3 linked regions of the Callithrix jacchus genome follow. The protein of the gene in region 3 purifies or fractionates together with the protein of the main gene of each other region. This does not show direct contact. Links are inferred from orthologs where the notes say so. Each region holds a gene or a part of one and is shown on either strand. Other genes may lie near its edges.

Region 1 (3,368 bases), on a different chromosome or scaffold from region 3:
AGCGGCATTCATTCAGTGACATTCATTCCAATTCATTCATTCCTTCATTCATAGCTCACTGCAGCCTTCACTTCCTGGGCTCAAGCAATCCTTGACCTGGGCCTCCTGCGTAGCTGGGACTACAAGTGTGCACCATCTAGGCCGGCTAATTGTTGTATATTTGTACAGCCGGGGTCTCACCATGTTGCCAAGGCTGCACCGTCCCCCGACCCCCAACAATAACTTCTCCTTCCACTTTTCAGGGTATTAGAACCGAGACTCGGCAAGGCACATGGCTGCTCAGAAAGGACTACATTTCCCAGCGTCCCTTGCGGCAGGAGTAGGCCCATGTGATTATGTTCTGGCCAGTGGGATGAGGGCAGATGTGGACAACTTCCGGCTTATGCCCTCCAAGAGGCGTGCACTTCCTGCTTCCGGTTCTCTTTTGTAGGCGCGGGAGCCACGTGTTTTGTAACAAATAGCCGGGCAGAGGGTGTCCCAGAAGACAATGGCGCTGCAGAAACGTTCAATAAATATTTATTATAATTAAAAGACGGTAGCAATACCTCCACCACCAAGAACCCTCACCCAGAAATAGATCGGAATTGTAAACACCATGTCCAGTTCTGGCCACCCTAAAGGCCAGAGCGTCTGTTTTGTCCTAAATGAAGGGCTCCCGGCAATGTCCTGAAAGTGGCAGATAACTTCATCTTCCACTGTCCCCAGAGGACAGGACAGATCGGGGTGGTCTATGAGGTCCTGCCCAAAGCTGATGCCTGGGTCCAGGTGTGTTCCCCAGCTGGTCAGCACAGCAGTCATTCTGCCTCCTGTGTACTGTCCTCGGGTGCCTGGGACCCTCTCTGGTTCCACATGTGGTTGTTCAGCCCCAGCTGTACCATCTGCGCATGGTGGATAATGAGGGGTTGCAGTCCCGGGCTCTGAGGGGGCGCAGGTGAGGCTGTAGGGAAGCCTGAGGGTTGTGGGAAGGGCGGTAGGGGAGTACCAACCTGCCACCCGTGCAGGGGTGGAGGCTGCGGGTACCCCAGCCCAGTGGGAAAGGGTGGCGGGGCTCCCAGAGGCACTTGGCCACCAAAGGGCATTTGAGCCCCAAAGGGTGCCCCAGTCCCAAATGACATGTGGCTCCCAAAAGCCGCCTGGAGCTGCTCCATCTGTGCCTGCCAGGACAGATAGCTCCGGAGGTAGGCCGAATATGCAGCGTTCATGGCGGCCACCTGCACCCGCTCACTGTCCAGGTGTTGGCTCTGTTCCCGCAGGGCTCGGGTGTCCTGTTCCTTCCTCCACATGGCCTTTCGGGCCTGAAGCCTGTAGGACGTGAAGGTGTTGGCCACCTTCTTGTCAAAGATCCGAGAGTGTTCGTCCAGCCGCACCAACCCAGAGAGCAGGCTGGCTGTGTCGGAGCTGAGCTCGGCCAGGGAGCTCTCCAGGGGCAGGAAGGGGATGACACAGTCTGACGGCCCCTGTCGCATGAGGTTGCTCACCAGGGCTTGGTTCACCTGGTGCAGGCTCAGGTGGCAGTCGAAGTTGGAGGTGAGAAGGAGGATGATGAAGGCAGAGTGGTCAATTGCATCCTGCAGGCAGCGGAGCTCCCCGCGCCCGGGCACCTGGAAGTCCTCACAGAAGGTGGCCCCGTCAGGCACACCGAGGGCCTCCAGCTTCTCCCGGACCCGCAGGGCAATGTGCTCGTCCGCCCTGGCATGGAGGATCACAAAGTTATAGAATTTCTGCTCTGATGATGATTCCAGGGAGGAAGGGAACAGGGAGGAGGGGGCCAGGTGAGCTGAAGAGGGGGCTGATGGAGGAGGAGGAGGAGGATGGGATGTTTTTGGGGTGGTGGGAGATGGGCTTGGCTTGGTATTTGGAGAGGTGGTGTCTTCTACAGAAAGTTGGGGTGATGTCTGTCCTTTGACAGGGCAGGGGTTTTGGGGGGGCTCCAAAATGGGCAAGGGGAGAGACTGGGGGCCTGCAGACCCCTCGGTGCACTCCACCGGGAACTGGGTGCTGGTTTCTGGAGCTTCAGGGGTGTCAAGGAGGCCAGTCGAAGTTGCATCTGGGGCCACTTTGCAAAATCCAGGGGGTGGGCTGCTTGGCAGCTCTGGGGGGCTGGCAATCTCCCCCGAGGGCGGCCAGCTCATCTCCTCAGGCTCCTGGCAGCCACCAGGGACAGGCTCGGGCACCTTGCTGGCCTGAGGGTCATCACAGAGCTTGCTGGGCCCCTGGGGGCTGCGGTGCAAGCTGAGGAGGGGCATCGTGGGCGACTGGCTGATTTCCAAGTTGCTGGTCAGGGAGGCGGGGCTGCCAGTTGACCTCAGGGAACGCCCTTGGCTCCAGCCTGAAACCCCATCGATGGGGCGAGGGAGGCTCCGGGTCCCAGAGGGCGAAGCTGAGGACTGTGGGAGGCAGCCCAGATTGGACTGGAGTGTCTGGATGCTCCCTGGATCCCCAGCCACGTCCCACCCACACCGGTCCCGGGCCTCATCCTGGAGCTCCCCCAGCCGGTGGTCGTCCCTGGCGCTGAGAGTCCGGAGGGCTTCCCGGTAGGCCTCATCCCGCTGCGAAGCCGGGCACAGCTTCTCCTCAGCCAGCAGGTGGTACAAGCGGGCCACAGTCCAGGATACGTCCGGGGGCTCCTCTGGGTCCTCAGTGCTGTCCACACCAGCCCACTGGCGGGCTACTAGCTGAGCCGCGGCATCAGCCTTCAGTGCCTCTAGAGAGATCCTGGCCTCGGTCTCCTGGCCCAGCTTCAGCAGCACCATGGCGTGCAGGAGGTCCCGCCCCTGGCAGCCTGGGCGCAGAGTCTTCAGTTTGTGCTTCAGATACAAGAGCTTTTCCTCGCCCGCTGTGCCCAGGATGTCGAAGGCGCTGGGAAGTGACGGGCCCTTGCAGGCCATGGGCACAGGTGGGTTCGGCCTCGGGCGGCAGAAGCTGGGGGTGGTGAAGGCATGTTCCACACTGCCCGCCTTCTGCACGCCCGGCTCCCTCTACTCATTCACTGTTCCAGATTCTGCCGGAGCTCCCCAAGCAGATCTGTAGGAAACAGGACAGGCAAACACAGTTACCCCCAAGAGAGGTCAGCACGGGAAGGTGGCCCACAGGCCCCTGTCTGCTTTCCCCGCCTGCCACCAAGACCTAGCAAGGTGACCTTTGGGAACACGCCACCTCCAACTTCCACGTCCTCCTCTGCAAAATGCCATGAGGCCAGTGTGGTGGCTCACGCCTGTGATCTCAGAACTTTGGGAGGCTGAGGTGGGAGGATCACTTAAGCCCAGGACTGTGAGACCAGCCTGGTCAACATAGCCAGACTCTATCCCTACTAAAAATTTAAAAATTAGCAGGCCGGGTGCAGTGGCTCAAGCCTGTAATCCCAGCAC
Region 2 (3,482 bases), on a different chromosome or scaffold from region 3:
GGGCAACAGAGTGAGACTCTGTCTCAAAAAAATAAAAAAAATCACATGAGATTCGATATTTTCTTATATATGAATAAAATAGACTTTGTGCTAGATGACTGTGCCCAGCTGTAGGCTAATGGAAGTGTTAGGAGCACATTTACGATAGGCTAGGCTAAGTGATGATGTCAGTAGGTTGGGTACATTCAATGCTTTTTCAGCTTACAATATTTTCAGCTTACATTGGGTTTCCCAGGACATAGCCCCATCCTAAATTGAGGAACGTCTGTATACTGGACAGGGACTTCTCTGATGTCAGGGACCCCGTTTTCATTTTGTATCCCCTGACAAAATCCTAGCACGGATAATAACATCACCTACAACAAGTTTGTTCCAGGAAAGTGTTTCATAAAAATGACACTTTGTACTGGGCTTTTTAGTGGCCGCCAGAGCACTCTCACACCATTGTTAGTTAATCCTCACAATCACCTAGTGGGGCGGATGTTCTCCCCACTCCTGGAGGTGTGCACCCAGCAGTTATAGAGATCACAAGGGCACACACTTCCTAATGAGAAAGTTCCAGAAGGATTATCCTGAATACCTTGAAAGGCTCAGATTGCAAGCTTGGCTGGCAGGCACTTCCTTCACCTGTTGGGCTATTGACCACTAAATCTCCTGATTTGGGGCTCTGAGATTATGGCCCATGTCCCCCCGGCCGCCCCCAGTTCCTTACCAGGTTCTTACTCCCCCTGCCCCCGCCCCAGGAGATTGCCGCAATGATTGACACTGAGTTCGCCAAGCAGACCTCGCTCGACGCAGTAGCCCAGGCGGTGGTGGACCGGGTGAAGCGCATCCACAGCGACACCTTTGCCAGTGGTGGGGAACGTGCCAGGTTCTGCCCCCGGCACGAGGACATGACCCTGCTGGTGAGGAACTTTGGCTACCCACTGGGCGAAATGAGCCAGCCCACAACGAGCTCAGCCCCAGGTACGTGTGCTGTGCAGACAGGCAGTGCCTGGGGATGCCATCTGGGGACCAGAGGTGGGTGCAGAACAGCCAAGGCTGATTAAAACGGAGATGGAGTTAGGAGGCCTGGCTCTGAGTGGCTCTAACCCAGGTTCTCTTGACTTTCAGCCTCTCTGTGCTGTGTGTTGATTTTTGCTTTTTTGTCTGTAAAATGAGGATAATACCACCTGTCCTGGCAACCTCCCAGAACCTGAGTGCACCAGCCAGCAATTCACAGAGCTGTGAAGCCGCATAGTAGAGATGATGGCCACCACTGGTTGAGCGCCTCCGGTGTGCCAGGAGCACGACCTGCATTATTTCCTTCAGTCCTCATTGGCAACCCTAAAAACAGGTGGTACCCCTGTTTTCCAGAGGGAGAAACTGAGGCTAAGAATGACGGGACCTCAAAGAGATTAGGCATGTGGACAGATGGTCAGGCCCCAAAGCCTGTCTGTCCCAGGGCTGCACTGGAGCAGGGCAGGAAGAAGGACATTTTGCTTTTTGCTTTTGTAATTCTTTTTTTTTTTTTTTTCTGAGATAGAGTCTTGCTCTTGTTGCCCAGGCTGGTGTGCAATGGCACGATTGCAGCTTACTGCAACCTCTGCCTCCCTGGTTCAAGTGATTCTCTTGCCTCAGCCTCCCAAGTAGCTGGGATTACAGGTGCACACCACCATGCCCAGCTAATTTTTGTATTTTTAGTAAGAACGGGGTTTCACCATGTTGGCCAGGCTGGTCTCAAACTCCTGACCTCATGATCTGCCTGCCTCGGCCTCCCAAAATGCTGGGATTACAGGCATGAGCCACTGTGGCTGGCCCCTGCCTTTGTAATTCTTCAACCAAGTTCTGAGAAAAAGAGGTGGCTGCTCTCTGCTGGGCTCCCCGAGAGCTGCTCAGTGCTAAGACCTTCAGTTCCTGAGGGCTGCTTTGTTTTTTCTTTGTTTTAAACAAGCAAACCTTAGGTAAAGCTTAGGCATCCACAGACAGATTTGTTCTCCCATGGACACCAGGGTTATTAGAGTTCCTTTGGCCTGTTGTTATTGCAACCATATTTTTATTGGGTCAGGCTCAACTGGGAGCGAACTTATCCTCTGGATTAAAGCAGCCTTGGAAAGTTAGACAGTAACCCTTTCCTTGAGGCACCTCAAGCACAAGCAGGCTTTACTGCTATGAGTTCCCAGCCTGGCCTGGAAGAGTTTCTGCCAAAGGAAACTCCTCCTAAGCTGTCCCAAGGGGCAGGGTGCCTTGCTGGGCTTGGGGAGCCAGGTGTGGCTGCTGCCCACACTCAGCCCTCAGGCACCACCCCATCAGGCCATGGAGCAGCTCTACCCCCACTACCCTGGGTTCCTCCTCAGCCGCTGCCTGAGGCCCCCACTCTCTTCCTCCCAAAGCTGCAGGGGGACGAGTGTACCCTGTGTCTGTGCCATACTCCAGTGCCCAGAGCACCAGCAAGACCAGCGTGACCCTCTCCCTTGTCATGCCCTCCCAGGGCCAGATGGTCAACGGGGCTCACAGCGCTTCCACCCTGGATGAAGCCACCCCCACCCTCACCAAGTAAGTCCCTCCCCAATTTAGCCACCCCCAGTCCTGTCACCCCCATGTGTGTCCTGTGGCACTGGTACAGAAATGACCATGGGGCCAAGTCTTGTGGATGAGATGCCCTGAGGTCTCAAATTTCCCAGCTCCGTGCCTGGTGAGGTAGGTCTCCCTAGGAACTGAGGCAGAAGGAAGAGGCAGCTTTTGCTGGGCCAGCTGGGGTTTCGGGTCAGGTAGCTGATGGTGCCAGCCTACTTCTTAGATTTTCTTGTGAGCCCCATCTGCTGGTTTCATTCAGTGAAAGGTTCTCTCTCTTTTTTTTTTTTTTTTTTTTTTTGAGACGGTTTCACTTTTGTTGCCCAGGCCAGAGTATAATGGCAAGATCTTGGCTCACCGCAACCTCTGCTTCCCGGGTTCAAGCAATTCTCCCGCCTCAGTCTCCTGAGTAGTTGGGATTACAGGCATGCGCCACCAGGCCTGGCTAATTTTTCTTGTATTTTTAGTAGAGATGGGGCTTCTCCATGTTGGTCAGGCTGGTTTCGAACTCCCGACCTCAGGTGATCTGCCCACCTTGGCCTCCCAAAGTGCTGGGATTATAGACGTGAGCCACTGCACCCAGCCTTGAAGGTTCTCTTTCATTCTCCACCTGGGCATGATGTGGGGCAGCTTCCTGTGGTGTCCTTGCTTGGGGACATTGTCTGGCCTGTACTGGCTTGCAGATCCCATGCTTTCTGGCTGATGTGCCCGATTTTAGCTTTGAAGTAAGTTCTCTGGTTTTGAGGGCAGGGGGCGAGGTGGAGGCAGCAGCCTGAAGGTGTTGCCAACAGGCCCCCTCTAGCTGCAGACCTGTCTAACAGGTCTGGAGTATACCCCACCCCCTTCACTTCCGTGGAATGTGTACTCCCCACACCAGGGGACCCGGATCTGGTTTCCACATTCCAGCCCTGCATTGTATAATAGAGATG
Region 3 (3,020 bases):
CTGTCTCCCAGGCTGGAGTGCAGTGGCACGATCTCAGCTCATTGCAACCTCCGCCTCCTGGGTTCAAGTGATTCTCCTGACTCAGCCTCCCAAGTAGCTGGGATTACAGGCTCCCGCCACCATGCCCGACGAATTTTTTTTAGAGACAGCGTTTCACCATGTTGGCCAGGCTGGTCTCAAACTCCTGACCTCAAGTGATCCACCTGCCTTGGCCTCCCAAAGTTCTGGGATTACAGGCGTGAGCTACCGCACCTGGCCAATGATACTCTTTATAGCAGGGCCTGCACCATTTTACATCCCCACCAGCAGTGTGTGAGGGCTCCATTCTTCCACGTCTTTGTCTATGTGTGTTAATTCTTTTTTTTTTTTTTTTTTTTTTTTGAGACGGAATTTCACTCTTGTTACCCAGGCTGGAGTGCAATGGCGCAATCTCGGCTCACCGCAACCTCCGCCTCCCGGGTTCAGGCAGTTCTCCTGCCTCAGCCTCCTGAGTAGCTGGGATTACAGGCACGCGCCACCATGCTGACCAGGATGGTCTCGATCTCTTGACCTCGTGATCCACCCACCTTGGCCTCCCAAAGTGCTGGGATTACAGGCTTGAGCCACCGTGCCCGGCCCTTTTTTTTTTTTTTTTTTGAATTGTAGACATCCTAATGGGTACGAGGTGGTTTAGTCACATTTTAAAGAAGAAAGTTTAAAGGATGGCATAGGATAGTTAACCCAATGTTTGGAGTAAAGCCAGGCTTTTTTGCAGTGCTATATTTTTTCTCTTGCTTTTGATCTAGAAGTACTTACCTGTGTGTTTCTCTCTATTCAGAGGAATCTATAAAATGTACCATACACAACAGTAGCGGTGTTCAGATTGGAGCCTACAATTATATGGAGGTTGGTGGGATGAGTTCATCACTATCAGACAGCATAAATATGAACTTTAAAGAAGAGCCAGCTTCTAAGTACCAAGATATCTTTGGTAAGATACCCTTGAAGGACCCAATGTCTATCAACCTTGAACTTTCTTGTGAGAAGGATGTAGTGGAATCTTGAAATTTCTCTGATAATTCTTCCTGAAAGTTTTCTCATGTTACTTCTGCAAAATAACTTTGTGATTTCTGTGTAATTTCTTTGTGATTTATTTATTTTTAATATGGAGATAATAACAGTATTTAATTCATGGCTTTGTTGTGAAAATTAAATGAGTTGATATGTATGAAAGCTTAGAACGCTCCCTGACACATAGTAGGGTCTATAAAAAGTGTTAAACTTTCATCATTATCATCAGTATTACTGCTCAGACCTGGAAGAAATAGCTGTGTCAGGCCCTCATCAAAGGAGATCCTGTAAAAGAGAGAAGACTGTGCCCTCCACAGCACTTCTGCAATAAAATCAAGAGGGCTGTCTCTTACAGGGTCCTACTGTGCAGGACCATAATGCTAATCTCGAGGTACAGTCTGGAAAAAGCAGTCATGAGGCCAAAACAACTTGATTAAGAACTCAGCTTTCTAATTAACAACAGGATTGTCTTTTTGTTCCTGTAAAGGAACCGATAGTAAATGTTAGGCATTGCTGGCTTTGAGGTCTCTCTTGGAACTACTCAACTCTGTTACCGTAGTACAAAAGCAACCATAGACAATACGTACATGAATGAACATTGCTGTGTCCCAATAAAACTTTATTTACAAATGGTGGCAAGGAGCCAGATTTGGCCCACAGGCTATAGTTGGCCAACCCCTGGTCTAACACATTTGAAGAACAGCTTTTAAAATACCTAGAACAGAGGTTCTTAACTTTTGATTAGCCAAGGACACCCTTGAGATTGTAATGAAACCTAGGATCTGTCCCATAAAGAAATACTGACAAAATTTGCCAAATATTTTGGGAAGTTTTTGGACTGCTGACAATCTAGCGGTGGCAACACAGGCCACATTATGGAGGGCTGAGGAAAGAAAGGAGGTTGAAAGGAAGAATGAGATGTTTTCTCCCTTACATTCTGTTTATTGAGGTAGAGTGGGGATTAGGGAATATGTTTGTTGTGGTTGTTTTACATTTTTATTTGTTTCCTTTTATTATTTTTATGAAGGGCTAAGAGAAGAACTAGTAGGAGAGAGGTTATGGCTATCGGAGAAGAGGCAATGGCAGTCGGGGGGTGGGGGGCAGGGAGAAGGGTTCAAAAACAGACCTTTCATCGTGTGAAAGACAAGGAAGGCATTGTAACTGAATGGGTTCACACCTGCTGGACAGTTTCCTTGATTAAGAGGAAAGTGAACTGTTGGGCAGGGGTGATGGTCAGGAGGTAAGTGGCTTTAACTCTGGCCAGATGTAAGTGAAAAATGTCCAAAAGGAACAAAAATGGTGGGTTTTTCCTTTACATCCAGGAAAGTCTAACACAAACAGGGTCACCGGCTAAGATTGAATAGAACACCCAGCCTTGTAGCCACATAGGGGTTTTGTTCACAGAGCCATCAGCTGTGGCTCAGAGATGTGTCTGCTAGGAGGAAGGAATGCCTTATTCTTTTGTTTTGCTTTTGAGACAGCATCCTGCTCTGTGGCCCAGGCTGGAGTACAGTGACACAGTCATGGCTCACTGCAGCCTTGAACACCTGGGCTCAAGTGATCCTCCTGTCTCAGCCTCCTAACTGAGACTACAGGCATGTGCCACCATGCCCAGTTAATTTTTTTTTTTTGTAGAGACAGGGTCTTGCTATGTTGCCAAAGCTGGTCTAGAACTCCTGGGTTCAAGTGATCCTCCTTCCTTAGCCTCCCAAAGTGTTGGGATTATAGACATGACCCACTACGCCAGGACAGGAATGCCCTATTCTAAGTCACACAAAGACTCCATGTGGGCTAGCAGGGATATAAAATGTCCACCAAGGTGTCAACAGCTATATAATTAAGACGTTATCTTTTTCACTGTCTCCTGCTACTCTTCACCTCACTTGGGGTTTTTTTTAGCAATTCAGGAAGCTGGAATGTTTGAATGGGTTTTATTTAGCTTGATACCTTCTTCTCTTTCCCATTTGGCA

The links. Proteins that work in one complex are often made in the same cells at the same time.
Region 1: the proteins of RIPK1 (region 3) and TICAM1 purify together in Homo sapiens (affinity purification with western blotting; 4 studies listed by BioGRID). This does not show direct contact. The link is inferred for Callithrix jacchus from reciprocal best matches to the Homo sapiens genes RIPK1 and TICAM1.
Region 2: the proteins of RIPK1 (region 3) and TAB1 purify together in Homo sapiens (affinity purification with mass spectrometry; 3 studies listed by BioGRID and IntAct, with this or other methods). This does not show direct contact. The link is inferred for Callithrix jacchus from reciprocal best matches to the Homo sapiens genes RIPK1 and TAB1.

Annotation. Positions count from the first base shown.
Region 1 is NC_133523.1:4,577,543-4,580,910, forward strand, and holds the end of TICAM1 (TIR domain-containing adapter molecule 1), read right to left. Parts: intron 3,025-3,368; 5' UTR 2,889-3,024; coding exon 795-2,888; 3' UTR 501-794; downstream 1-500.
Region 2 is NC_133502.1:210,223,156-210,226,637, forward strand, and holds part of TAB1 (TGF-beta-activated kinase 1 and MAP3K7-binding protein 1), read left to right. Parts: intron 1-743; coding exon 744-966; intron 967-2,372; coding exon 2,373-2,535; intron 2,536-3,482. UniProt on the Homo sapiens protein: Key adapter protein that plays an essential role in JNK and NF-kappa-B activation and proinflammatory cytokines production in response to stimulation with TLRs and cytokines.
Region 3 is NC_133505.1:27,534,505-27,537,524, reverse strand, and holds part of RIPK1 (receptor-interacting serine/threonine-protein kinase 1), read left to right. Parts: intron 1-817; coding exon 818-970; intron 971-3,020. UniProt on the Homo sapiens protein: Serine-threonine kinase which is a key regulator of TNF-mediated apoptosis, necroptosis and inflammatory pathways.